Drosophila melanogaster: one gene and its partner. Changing the gene in region 2 together with the main gene of any one other region gives a genetic interaction. Each region holds a gene or a part of one and is shown on either strand. Other genes may lie near its edges. The genes, in order: run and Nipped-A.

Region 1 (8,135 bases), on a different chromosome or scaffold from region 2:
CGCCGGGGAGGCATGGGAAAGCGGGTTTCATAATAACAAAAGGGGGTGGGGAGGCATTATAAAATGGAGGATCGGTTGGTGGGAAAACGTATTTAATCGAGGACAGATCGACCTTCTGCAGAGGGCGGCCGATGCGTTGAGAGCTAACCCGTTTTAGGCATTTCAAAATTCAGTTTTGTACTCAAAACAAAAATAAACAGAATAAAGAAATGATCCCCTATCAACACTTTCAGTAAATTTAAAATAGGAAAAAACAGGCAGGTCTCGAATGAAAAACCATAAATCACATGATTCGTATTGATGGAAAACTTACTATAAATATCAAAAGATAATATAAAACGATGCCGATGATCACGAAAAGTGTCCTTTGATCAAAAACAGCCCAAAACATAACCGAAGAACCTTTGTTGTGCCAACAAATGTAAACAACTTGCACACTCCTCCGACTTTTCTTTACTGTTTCCCGTTTTTTCGGGAGTTTTTTGTAAACAATTTGTAGGGGACATGTGTAACAATCGCCAGAGATCATTAGGATTTCAACGCCGATCGGACAGCTGCATATTTTCCCCCACCAATTTTCGCCTCTTCCATTTTCCCTTGGCTAATTGTCGCGGGCCCAAAAGAAAGTCCATTCAAAATGGTTACGGATCGTTCCTGCCAAAAATCCATTGTTCTTAAGTAAATAGAGAGGGGCCAAGTCAACGAAAACTGAGGAAATATATATGTATGTGCACACAAGGAGCACAAATGATCGCTGAAAAATCCATGACATGTGTCCCAAGCAATCCAAGGATCCTGGGATTCGGCCAAGATGGAGTAGCGCACACGGGCCAAAGAACAGCTGGCAGTCGGAAAAGTGTGTGGAAAACGGTGGAAAGCCAGCCAATGCATGGCCACCTAACCAAAACACAATTTTGTGGGAGTGTCGCAAAGGCAAAGAATAAAAAAAAAAAGAAAACCAAAAAAAAAAAAAAAAGGAAAAGGTAAAAAGAAAAACAGAAGGAAACCCGAAACACACTCATTCCCCGTTTTTCACCACACGAAAGAAAATAAAAAACACCCCCAGAACGCAGAAAAAAAATCACTCAAACAAGCGTTTTCCAATGGAAAGTGGTGAACCGGCTGTGGTGTAATTTTTTCCGAGGGTTGAATGACGTCGCCAGCGGGGGAGGGGGATGGGGAGGAGCGGTCGGAAGCCGCTGCCGACGTCGCTGCCGACGTCGCTGCCGGCAGCACTGCCAGCGCCACAACCAAAACAACAAACCACAATTCACTTACACAACGCCGCAGCCGCAGTCGCAGTCGGTCCGCTGCCGCCGCGCTGCCCGCTTTTCCGCTTTTCCACTGCTGCCTTTTGTAAATAAAGAAGAATGCGCAAATTGGCGGCACAAATTGTTAAATACACTTTTCAGTATATTTTCAAATATATTCATAACGAAATAATAAGTTTGTTTTCCCTAAAAAAAAAAAACAAAACATTTATGCACGTTTTATAATACTTTACAAATATTTGTTGAATAAATTGATTATTGTATTTATTATAAACGCTTTTGAGCTATTAAAAGATATTTAATTTTTTACTACAAAATATGTTTCATGCTTAAATTAAATAATTTAAATTGAATTTCAGTTTCACTTTATACAGATGCTTAGTTAAAACAGTTTTTCGTCGTTATAATCGTTTCAAAAACGCATCAATATTGTTATTGTTCACTTGTCATTTGAAATAGTTAAACTAACCAAACACCGAAGGGTACAAAAATGTTCCTCGATTGGCAGTCGCTTTTGTTTTTTATTCTCCTGTGGCAGTGAGCATTTCCCCTGCGCCACTGGAATTTCCACGGTGCCAGAGTTTTCCGCTCTCTGTCGGTAATTTTTGTTGGGGGTTCTGGGGTTCTCCGTGGTCAATGGCTCCTGGCTCCTGGGATCCCTGTGCATTCAGTATAGCCTGGATAACGGTTGTGCGAGGAGCTCCATGAGGAGAGGCGGAGCCACGATCGGCGCAGCCGTCTCGTTCTCTCCCATAACGATCGCCCTACTAATAAATCATCCCCTCTTGGATGTCAGCTATTTCCGTAGCATCTGCTCGCCAACGGTTGGCCGATCTCTGCGGTTACCCCAGCCCCTCGAGCGTAGGTGCCTCTCTTTCGTTCGCCTGGTGCCGTCTCTTTCTGCGAGGGGGAGGGATCTTGCGCACGTATATGAATAATTCAACTGATCGCCGTGGTGATTGGGGGATGAACGGAGTACTGGTTTGTCCGTTCCTCGGAGGTGCGGAATGCACAGATCGTAGTTCTGATACCCATTCATTTCGAGGAAATTTATTCAGGAACGTCACGGTATTTGCATAAGTGAAATCGTATCTCACAGTTAGCAGCCTGTATCGTAGATTGATTACTAAAATACTTTTCTAAATAATCTGCACTAAGATATAGTTCAGATTGCGTAAGATCGGTAAGTACAGAAGCTTTTAATCGCACTGGAAGTTTTATTTACCGCTCACGACATTTGCATAGATGAAACCGTATCTTACAGATTCAAGTAGCTTGCGTACTAAACTACTGTACAAAAAATATCTGCACTAAGAAATAGTCGGGAGTGATTTTTTATGGTGAAGTACAGAAGTAAATTCAGCTAATTAAGCCTCGCTCTTTTTTGTTTTAAATTAACTGCTCAACAGCAGTGAGAAAAACATTGCATATATTGAGTACATGAATACAGGTTACTGTCGCCTTAATCTCCCATCGGTTAATCCCGCTAAAAAGCGAAGTCCTTTGAGTTTTTGGTGGCCAGGTAGGCACTTTCCGTATCAGATGCTCGTTGCTTATTTTTTGGGAACATATTTTATGGCCCGTGGCGGCGGCTAATCGGCCAAAATATTTGCGGGGCGTGCTGCTTAATCCGGGCGATTGACTTTCATAAGCAAAGGATTAAGATTGCGCGGTTGGACTACCTGTTTTGAGGTGCGATATCAGTACATGCGATGGTACATCTGAGGGCCAGGTACGTCAAAGCCAGTAAACCCATAGTTTTCCCACTTTTTTGGGGCCGCAAAAAAGCATCGGAGGGCCCATAAAAAAAGGGTTGATCCTTTTGGCTGCTGTGGGCTCGTAGCGAGTTCGGTATGGAGATCAGGTACTGCCTGGTGCTCGGTGATCCCTATGAGGCGGTCCTGCGGGTCCTGCGATGCGCGTGCTGCGGCAGCTCCTGTCGCAAATTGCCAAGGAATCGCAGCAGGATCCAAGAAGCGACGACAGGAGCGCTGATTTCCCGGGAAACCGGCAATCGTCAATCGGCCATCGGCAATCGCGTCCTTGTCGCACGCCCGCTAAACCTGCGCTGTCCTGCCATATATCCCGGGGCTATATGGTGTGAAATCGGTGTAGGGACACGAGGTCCTTCGCAGCGAGCGGCCGCGCACGTACAAAAGGCAGCGCTGCCGATACACTGGATTTACTGGAAGTGTGCGTCTATAATGTCCAGCTGAGAGCGGCGCGTTCTCGCGACATTTTGGTTGGTCTTGCCTCGTAGTTCCCCTACCAGAATGGCCATGCTCCCCATTCCTTCTCCTCCTCCTCCACGCGGTGCCTGGAAGAGTCCGCCACCTCGGAAAACTCGCGGGTCCTGTGTGGCCTCGTTTTTAAGGTTGTTTTGGTGGGCCGCAATTTTTTGGCCAGTCAGGCACTTGATTTGCGTTCCACTGCACGAAATGAGTGTTGAAGGAATTGAGAATATTACTTTAAATTGTCAAGTCAAGTGTCAAGTGTTATTCAGCAGCTCTTAAGAATTAATACACAGTTAATCCATTTTACATTAAGTTAATTAAATCGTTCATATTTCGTTTTTGAAGCTAAGTTTCGTAATCTGAATTACTATCTATGTATGTGCTAATCACTTAGCCAATCGCTAAGCAAAATGTACAAATCTTAAAACCTAAGTAAACGTAGATTAGTTTGAAGAGAGTTCAATGTAGGCAGCCAAAGATACTCGATGTTCTTCCAAGTATGACACTTCCGCATCAGATTAAATCCGATCAGCTAGCTAAACCTGATCCAATCAAGGATCGGCGATCGCAGGCAGCGAAAATGGAAATGAAATCGAGCCGGATTGCGCCACACGAACTGAGAGGCGCACAAATATTTACAGGACTAATCGCAGGATAATCGCCCGATCAGCATTAGGATTAAGTTCGATCCCCGGAGAGATCGATGGCACTGCATCTTAGATAGTACTGGAAGTGGACCGGACCTGACAATGGGTGTTAGTTGGACAGATTCAGATCGGAGATTGCAGATCAGTTGATCGAGTTCCGAGTTCCGAGATCGGCGATAAAGTAAATTTTGGGCGGAATCGAGAAAAACATTGAGCAACACTGAGGGATCAGTGTGCCGTAATATGATCAGCCGGGGATTTCTGATTATTTTGAATGAAACACTAATTTTTGGGACATTTTCGAACAATGGGACGCACTGTTATGCACGTGTATATGTTTATTAATTAGATCTGATCTTAAATTACTTAACTTAACTTATTTGAAATGAAATTATATGGATAACGTTGATGCATATTCAAAAAAAAAAAAATTAACACTGGAAATGATTAGTTTTTTGAACAGATTATTAAAACGATTTGTAGCACTAATAATGATGTATTTAAAATATCGTGCTTATGTTGATATATATATTATATATATATATATATATATATTATTATATTTATTATATTTTTTTCGGCATCTTCATCTTAATCGATAAGATACCTTCGAAAGCAATTAAATATATGATAATAAATACAAATATAAAGGAAAATATAATTCATCTTATGATAGTATGGGATAGTGTGTACTATATGTACTATAGATTATTATCATAATTGAAAATCCCATGTTCCAAAATTTTCCAAACTCCACAATCGTATCACCCATGAAATTAAAAGGCTTAAATCCTTTTATCCCAAAGTCATAGTGATATAGCTCTCCTGATGCTTGTGATAATATTTATGATAATTTCGCAACCTGATCCCTCCTCGCACTGACTAATTGAGTCCTCATGTCCTGTCGGCAGGACGCCCCTGGCATCCTAGCTACTCGGGAAAGGGAAGGCAAGGGAACGAGAAGGAGATGGTGAAGGGAACCCCCCGTTTGGCCATGGGTGCCTACCTGTACCACCCGCCCCCGCCCCCCTCGACGAACCCCTCCGCAGGAGGGCCGCCAAAACACGCGCGCCGCTGGAAGTGGAAAATGGGAAACTGTTGCACGGCCGTTTTTCTTTTGGCGTGCGTGGCGAAAAAATAAAATTCAAAGCGAAGAAAAGGAAAACGCACACAATTTCCAGACCGCCCGTGGGGAAAAGCGAGAGAGGAAGCGAGAGCCAGAGCGAGAGAGTGGAAAAGTCTCGGTGTATTTCTTTTTTGAGTTTTTCTTTGGTGCAATTTCCAGGCCATCACTCTCTCTCTCTCTTTCTCGCTCTCGCCCATGCGATTTTCCTTTTTTCCGCTGTTATTTTTTCCTTTTTGGCCACAAGTAACAAGCGACTTCTCTCTCACGTACACAGGCACACTAACACGACAGCCAAACACACACACACACACAAACACACAGAGAGACCGCAATGGAAAAATGGGAAATTTTTTGCTGTGGTTGTTGTTGCGGCGGCAATGGTGGTTGCTCGATATACCGATATATACCTGCCCCGGCACCCTTAAAGGCGCGCCTGTGTGCGTAGGTAGCCAACCACACCACCATACCGCCCAGGATAATGGGCGGGAAAGAGACGGCGCTAGCGCCGTGCAAGTGGGACGGGGCACAAACGCCGGCAGAGCCGTCGACAGAGGCGGCGAGCAGCGCATTCCACTTTAAATACTGCCAACGATCGCAGCAGAGAATCAGTTCACTCAGCGACTTTAGCGTGTCGAGAACGCACAGAGAAATATATCGTTTTCGACTTTGGAAAACAGAAACAGGCTCGAAAGAAGCAGAGTTCGAAATCGCGAAACAATCCAATAACAACAAACAAACGAATTTTTTCCAAGTGACCCCCGATAAAGTGAAGTGCATACCGAGAATCCGCAATAGAAAACCGGCAATTGTCGACAGCCCCAGGATTACGGCTACGATTTCCACATTCGGATACGAGATGCATCTGCCAGCGGGTCCAACGATGGTGGCCAACAACACACAGGTCCTGGCCGCTGCCGCCGCCGCAGCAGCCGCCGCAGCGGCCGCGGTAGCCCAGGGTCCTGGGCCGCAGCAGAGTAGCAATGCCACCACCGCCTCCGCAATCGCCATCAATCCCGCCCAGAGTCTGGCCAACACGAGCACCCACTCGGCCAGCAGCACGGGCAGCTCCACACCAGATCTCAGCACGAACAACACCAGCTCGAGCAGCAACGCCACCACCAGTCCGCAGAACTCCGCCAAGATGCCCAGCTCGATGACCGACATGTTCGCCAGCCTGCACGAGATGCTGCAGGAGTATCACGGCGAGCTGGCCCAGACCGGATCGCCCTCGATCCTCTGCAGCGCCCTGCCCAATCACTGGCGGTCGAACAAGTCGCTGCCCGGAGCCTTCAAGGTGATCGCCCTGGACGACGTGCCCGATGGCACCCTGGTGTCCATCAAGTGCGGCAACGACGAAAACTACTGCGGCGAGCTGAGGAACTGCACCACGACCATGAAGAACCAGGTGGCCAAGTTCAACGATCTGCGCTTCGTGGGACGATCGGGACGCGGCAAGTCCTTCACGCTGACCATCACCATTGCCACCTATCCGGTGCAGATCGCCAGCTACAGCAAAGCCATCAAGGTGACCGTCGACGGGCCACGGGAGCCAAGAAGTAAGCAAAGTGAGTTTTTTAGTTTCCATTATGTTTTCAGTTTAATCCACTCCCAAAGATCCCCAAAAAACCAATTCAGAAACCGTTTGCATATCTTCAATTACAATATTCATAGTTTTGAAAACATTTGCCAACACTAACTAGTTATGATCTTAAATAACTAATGCCATTTTTAAGCTCAACTTTAAATGATCAGTCTGTTTTGAAATGATTGCATTGATCACTTTATCTTAAAGATTTTATCATTATTTTTGCTTATCCTTTTGCAATTCGGTTTTGATACACATATCCAAGGATCTTGAGATCCATTGCCGCCAACCAAATCCCCCACCATCCCCCCAACCTTTTTAAAAACGCATTCCGATGAAATACGAGTTGTGCTTTACTGACTTCCCGCCCTTTTTCTTTATCCTTCCAGGCTATGGCTATCCCCATCCCGGCGCGTTTAACCCGTTCATGCTGAATCCCGCTTGGCTGGATGCGGCGTACATGACCTACGGCTATGCGGACTACTTCCGCCACCAGGCAGCCGCCCAGGCGGCCCAGGTGCATCATCCGGCACTGGCCAAGTCCTCGGCTTCCTCGGTGTCGCCAAATCCCAATCCATCGGTGGCCACCAGCTCCTCGTCGGCGGTTCAGCCATCTGAGTATCCCCATCCGGCGGCAGCAGTGGCAGCGGCGGCGGGACAACCGGCGGCCATGATGCCATCGCCACCGGGAGCGGCGCCTGCCACGCCCTATGCCATTCCGCAGTTCCCATTCAACCATGTGGCCGCCGCAGCCGCCGCCAAGGCAGCCACGCCACACGCCTTCCATCCGTATAACTTTGCCGCGGCAGCTGGCTTGCGGGCCCGCAATGCTGCCCTGCACCACCAGAGCGAGCCGGTCCACGTCAGCCCCGCCTCCTCCAGGCCCTCCAGCTCCTCGCCCACCCAGCAACACGTCCTGCTGAAGCTAAACACCTCCATCGAGACGAGCTCCATCCACGAGCAGTCCGCCAGTGACGGCGACTCCGACGACGAGCAGATCGACGTGGTCAAATCGGAGTTCGACCTGGACAAGAGCCTGGATGTGGCGCCACTTCGCATGCGCTGCGACCTGAAGGCGCCCTCGGCCATGAAGCCGCTCTACCACGAGAGCGGTCCTGGAGCGGTAGCCAACAGCCGCCAGCCGTCGCCGGAAACGACCACCAAGATCAAGAGCGCCGCCGTGCAGCAGAAGACCGTGTGGCGGCCCTACTAGGGCATCTGATCCCCAAAAATCTGGAGGAATGAAGAAAACAAAGTGATATAACAGCGGCG
Region 2 (4,921 bases):
GTATAGCGATTTCGAATGTTTTGTTTGCGCTGACATGAGGTAATATTGGAGACAATAACATAAGTGATGTCGGTCGAGCATTTAGACGTTTGAGTTCACATTGAAATATTTAATGACGAACCATGTGTATCAAAACTGAAATCGCCTACTCCGGTACTCCGGTTTCGTCTTCTTAAGTTAAAGCTGATATGCAAATATGGATGGATAAGGTGCAGTTGAGATCCAGAGTCGAGAAGAGCGCGACAAGAAACAAATGTTCCTAATCGGTTCATCGCTAATACGGTGGCAGTGGCTACGAGCATAACATCCTTACTAAGATTCTGAGCAAGAAGAGTAGCAGACGTTACGCAGAGTGCAGATGTGAATCAGAAAAAAGTTCGAACCTTTTTGCTAATTTTAATTGATCAGACGGGGTCAGGTTTTTAGGGCGCTCCCAGGAGCATTACAGAAGGCACATGTTGAAGGGCTGAGACTTGGGGCAAGAAGGGCGGAACTACGGAACTCAGATGTTGTATTACATTCTACCTATGGCGCATAGCTTGCCAATGCGAAATCCAGTCTCCAGAGTCCTGCTGCTTCAAGTCTTCCAAATGCTCCTCCTATTTGGGCTGACTCGGCGTGTCCAGCTATTACTTGGGCGATATTGCAATTCAGCGATTTGTTCGATATTTCCAGTTTAAAAACTCCCCCGAACAGAGGATTTAAGAGTCACGAGAATACATCAAATTATTTCCAATTTCGTAAAAAGCCAGTTCTTCGAGCTCGTTGAGATTTTTCTGTTTCTGAAGCTCATCGATTATCTCCAACCTCACGGACAGCAGCTTCCGTTATTTGTTGTACTTCCATTACATATTTGACCCACTTGGATGGTTCCGCTGCCGACAGCTTGGATATGATTGCCAAAATTGATTTACATTTTCTACAATATTTGGCCATTGCCTCTCCTTTCGTTATACATACATGCTTTACATTATGCCTTTCTGTGAACTCCTTTTACGCAATCGAGGTAAATGCTGAGCCTGTATCGATTACAATACATGTTGGAAAGCCAAAAATACTTGACCAGTCGTGTAATCGTCGTCCTGCTGGGCTTTTTTAATACGTAATCTCTGTAGTAACCCTCATACTCTATGGAAAGCGACTAAGGCAGTCAACATGCTTAATTTTTTCTGCGGCACGGTGTTCTACTGTAAAAGTGAAGTCTTGAATTTACATAATCCATGGTCCTACATCTCTCGGTACGTCTTGTTTGGTTGTAGTCTGCTAAAAAGCGACACAATCTGTAATGAGCTTGAACTATATTCCTAGCAGGTAGTGACGAAACTTCTTCATACCTATGTACGCTGCTTTGTCTTCTTAGTAATAGCTATGTCGCTTTCATTCGGCTTCGGAAGTCTTCCTGCTCCAATAATAAACCGGATGAAAACTGCCGTCCACCATCTGCCGCAACACAGCTCCAAATTCATCCTTTAAAGAGCCACTGTGTAGTTCTGTCTCTGCATCTCTTGTGTAAATTTGCCGTACGGGAATGTCTGAGTCGTCTTTTAATTGCTGTATGGCTTAATGTTCACCAATGTAGAAAAGTGCATCTTTTTTCAAAAAAAATTTTCAGCGGACGCGCGATTAAAGCATATCCTGGAACAAATTTTCTGAAAAATCCTGTTAGCCCCAGAAATGATTGTACAGCTTTAATATTTTTTGGCCTGCCACATTTGCCCACCTTCAATGGCATGTCCCAAAAAGTCAATGCGAGTTTGCAAAAATCTGCTCCTTTTCAATTTGAGGCGGTACTACGCAAACAGGTTCTACGGCGACATTGTAGATTGCAGCATAATCTCGTATAAACCATTATTTTCCTTATCCCGCAAAAAAGTATATCCATGCAATGTCTTAAAACAATGATATTTTTTCCCTTTTTTGATCGCACGTTTCGGACATCATTGGACAAAACTCTAGTAAAATTTATTTCTTAGATTTGAGATGTGAGGCGGGTGAATATAAGAAGGCACATTAAAAATCTTCTAATCCGTGCCAGATATAGCCACCGCCAACTGATGCAAAATGGAGTCATTATGGAACAGTATCATCCGTATCAGCGTAAACACTTAAAGCCTAACTTTGATGACATATTTTATTATATATGATTATACCCGTTGCTCGTAGAGTAAAAGCAAAAAAAAAACCTTTAGTTTACATTATTCGGTAACTCCGCTTTGGATACTGCTTGTTTGCATTAGGTGGAGTCTCCCTCTCTGCTTATTCTTTTATCTGAGAACAGTGCTGAATATGTAAGCAGGCCCCAGACAACATGGGTTAAGAAACTTCCGCTGATCAGGATCACTAGCCGAGTCTACAGAGACTTAGTCGCATGTTACCCCGCCGGCAAGCTGTTCAAAACACCCCACGCCCACATATTTGAGAAATCTGTTGAATTTTTTATTTTATGTGACTTTCAAATTTTTATTGGTTTGCCAAACATAATACTACCTAAGAAAACCTACGGACGTAATAAATAATAAATGTGTTTCAAATTTTAAAATTAATGAAGTCGACATCGATAATAAAAATATACTCTTTTTTTGCAATCAAAGTTATGCTTTAAATAATACTTCTTCTGGCAATGTATGCATAATATCTGCGCAAAACTTAAAGTTGCGTAGCACAAACACAATGCACGGTCGTTTTAAATATCAGAAACAGTGGTTTTCAGTTTTAAAAGATTGTTACTAGGGCACCGAAAGGTTTCCCTATAGTACTATATAGATAGCTTTACATAAATAAGTATATAAAATATATTAATAAAATAATTGTATTGTACAAACATAAAAGTTCCGATTATTGGGAGTTACAAATGTAAACACAAAATATTTTCAACTTTGCATTTTAAAAGATAACTACATATATTTAAGCCGAAATTCATTGACAGTTATTTCAACCAAACATGGTTTCTTCATTTAAGGCCCATGCAATGGTGAATTTTAAAACTTACGTGTTGCATTGTATTTTCTTGAATGAACTGAGGTTCGCCATCCTGAAGTATCCGCATAAATATTTTTAAAGAATTATCTAAGAACGACGGATATGCCGGACTTTGCATTATCATTTCAAAGTGTTCACTTAGCTCTTGAGTAGCTTTCAGCTTAAGTTCGTCTTTAGAAGAGGAATCATTTAAAATATTTAAATAATTCCGAAATGTATTCACCGGTACATTTTCAATAACCGACATTGTGCCTTTTAACTCGTTCAACAACTTGACCGCTGTAAACAAAAAGGAATAGTCGGAAATTGTATGACCGATATATTCGATTTAATTGTTTGTCAAGATAGCATATAAGAAATTTTGAAACAGGAACGCAAAAATATTTTAGAAATGCTTCAATTTTTTATATAATATAGAGCTCCCACAGAGATGCATCTATATTAAACCTTTCACAACCTTCAGTGTTAAAAATTGGCACGGAATTAATTCCATCTTATTTGCATGTTTACTGCAGGATACAGGCTTGTCTATCTTTAAGTTAAATTTAAATGTTTTTTATTGCTATTTTATTTCAATAACTGTGTTATTCTATAAATATTTACGTGTAGGGAAATCAACATACAAAATACTAAATAATGTGTATTGTTAGTGATGGATTTAATCACAAGAACATTTAGCTCCGTTTATTTGTGGATGTAGTAATAATTCGGTATAACTAGATTTTTTATTATGTTCTTTAATATAGTCGGTCGAAATGCTCGGATTATTACTTCAATGGTATAATAAATAAAGGAGTGCCAATATTTCAATATTCAATATTCAATATTCAATGGTGGGTCATATCGTCATAGATGACGAAAGAAACGGATAAACCAAATTCATTTTTTCAATAAGGAGCTAATCCAGCTTCATTTAGACTTATTTACCTTGAATTGAAGGCCTGTCAAATTACTTATGCCGAAACAAAAAATCATCATATTTCATTAAGTTTCTTATAACTTTTTAAATTTAAATAAAAACAATTTCGTTTGTTCATTTTTAAGTTTATATTAATTACACACAAAAAATAAAAAATAGTCAATACTACCATATCAAGCCATTTAAAAGTTTCACTGACAAGTGTGCAGCTTTTTTTTGTCAAAATACTTATGCCGACTAGTGTATATTTCAAAAGATCCCTGTGGCGGCCGGCATTGCAATCAACTAAGCATCGGAACGCGACGTTGACACCTAACACTCCAGTGCGGTCGATCGAGCGATCGAACTGCAAGACTTCTAATTATTGAAGGCAATATTAATAATATGACTTCAATGACTTCAACCGACAGCCAAGTGAACTGAAATAAATAAGCTGAGTAATGGTATAAGCCAAAGCATATTAAGAAAAGCAAGATAAAGAATTTTGAAGCCGAGCTCTACAGAGAGGAGCTGTGGTACAAGCCAAAACATATAAAAAAAGAAATTAATAAAAACACATAAACAAATAAATCTAAAAATAGAAGAAAAGAAATTATTACCAGCTATTAAGAAAAGAGCTAGGTAATTAATCTGAGTTCCATAAAAAAATAATAATAATATAAAGGTCGGGTGGAGCAGGCTACCCTCCGCAAGCCAAAGAAGAAACAACAAACAAACAAACGAAAACAACTAATCCCCAAATGTAAATCGGGGATATTATTGAATTAGGGATGGGTAATAATTACAAGACAAATTAAACATCTAATAGTTGTTTTCGTTATAAACCCCAACTCTAGGTCCCATATTGGAAATAAAACCATTGTCATAAAACCGTTTCAGTGCGAGGCGATCGACGGGCAACCCTCCGAAATGAATGGAAGAAATGGCTACGGGCTTTTACAATATATCTCGACGCCGAGGCAGAACTCAACGTTTGAGAGACAAGTATTTAGTATTTAATCTGATCGAAATCATCCTTGCGAC

The links.
Region 1: of Nipped-A (region 2) and run, changing one enhances a phenotype caused by changing the other (phenotypic enhancement), as found in Drosophila melanogaster (one study listed by BioGRID).

The regions. Positions count from the first base shown.
Region 1 is NC_004354.4:20,688,559-20,696,693, forward strand, and holds the start of run (runt), read left to right. Parts: upstream 1-2,111; 5' UTR 2,112-2,454; intron 2,455-5,552; 5' UTR 5,553-6,134; coding exon 6,135-6,843; intron 6,844-7,252; coding exon 7,253-8,076; 3' UTR 8,077-8,135. UniProt on the Drosophila melanogaster protein: Plays a pivotal role in regulating the expression of other pair-rule genes such as eve, ftz, and h.
Region 2 is NT_033778.4:5,247,740-5,252,660, forward strand, and holds the start of Nipped-A (Nipped-A), read right to left. Parts: upstream 3,284-4,921; 5' UTR 3,227-3,283; coding exon 2,990-3,226; intron 1-2,989. UniProt on the Drosophila melanogaster protein: Part of the Tip60 chromatin-remodeling complex which is involved in DNA repair. Upon induction of DNA double-strand breaks, this complex acetylates phosphorylated H2AV in nucleosomes and exchanges it with unmodified H2AV.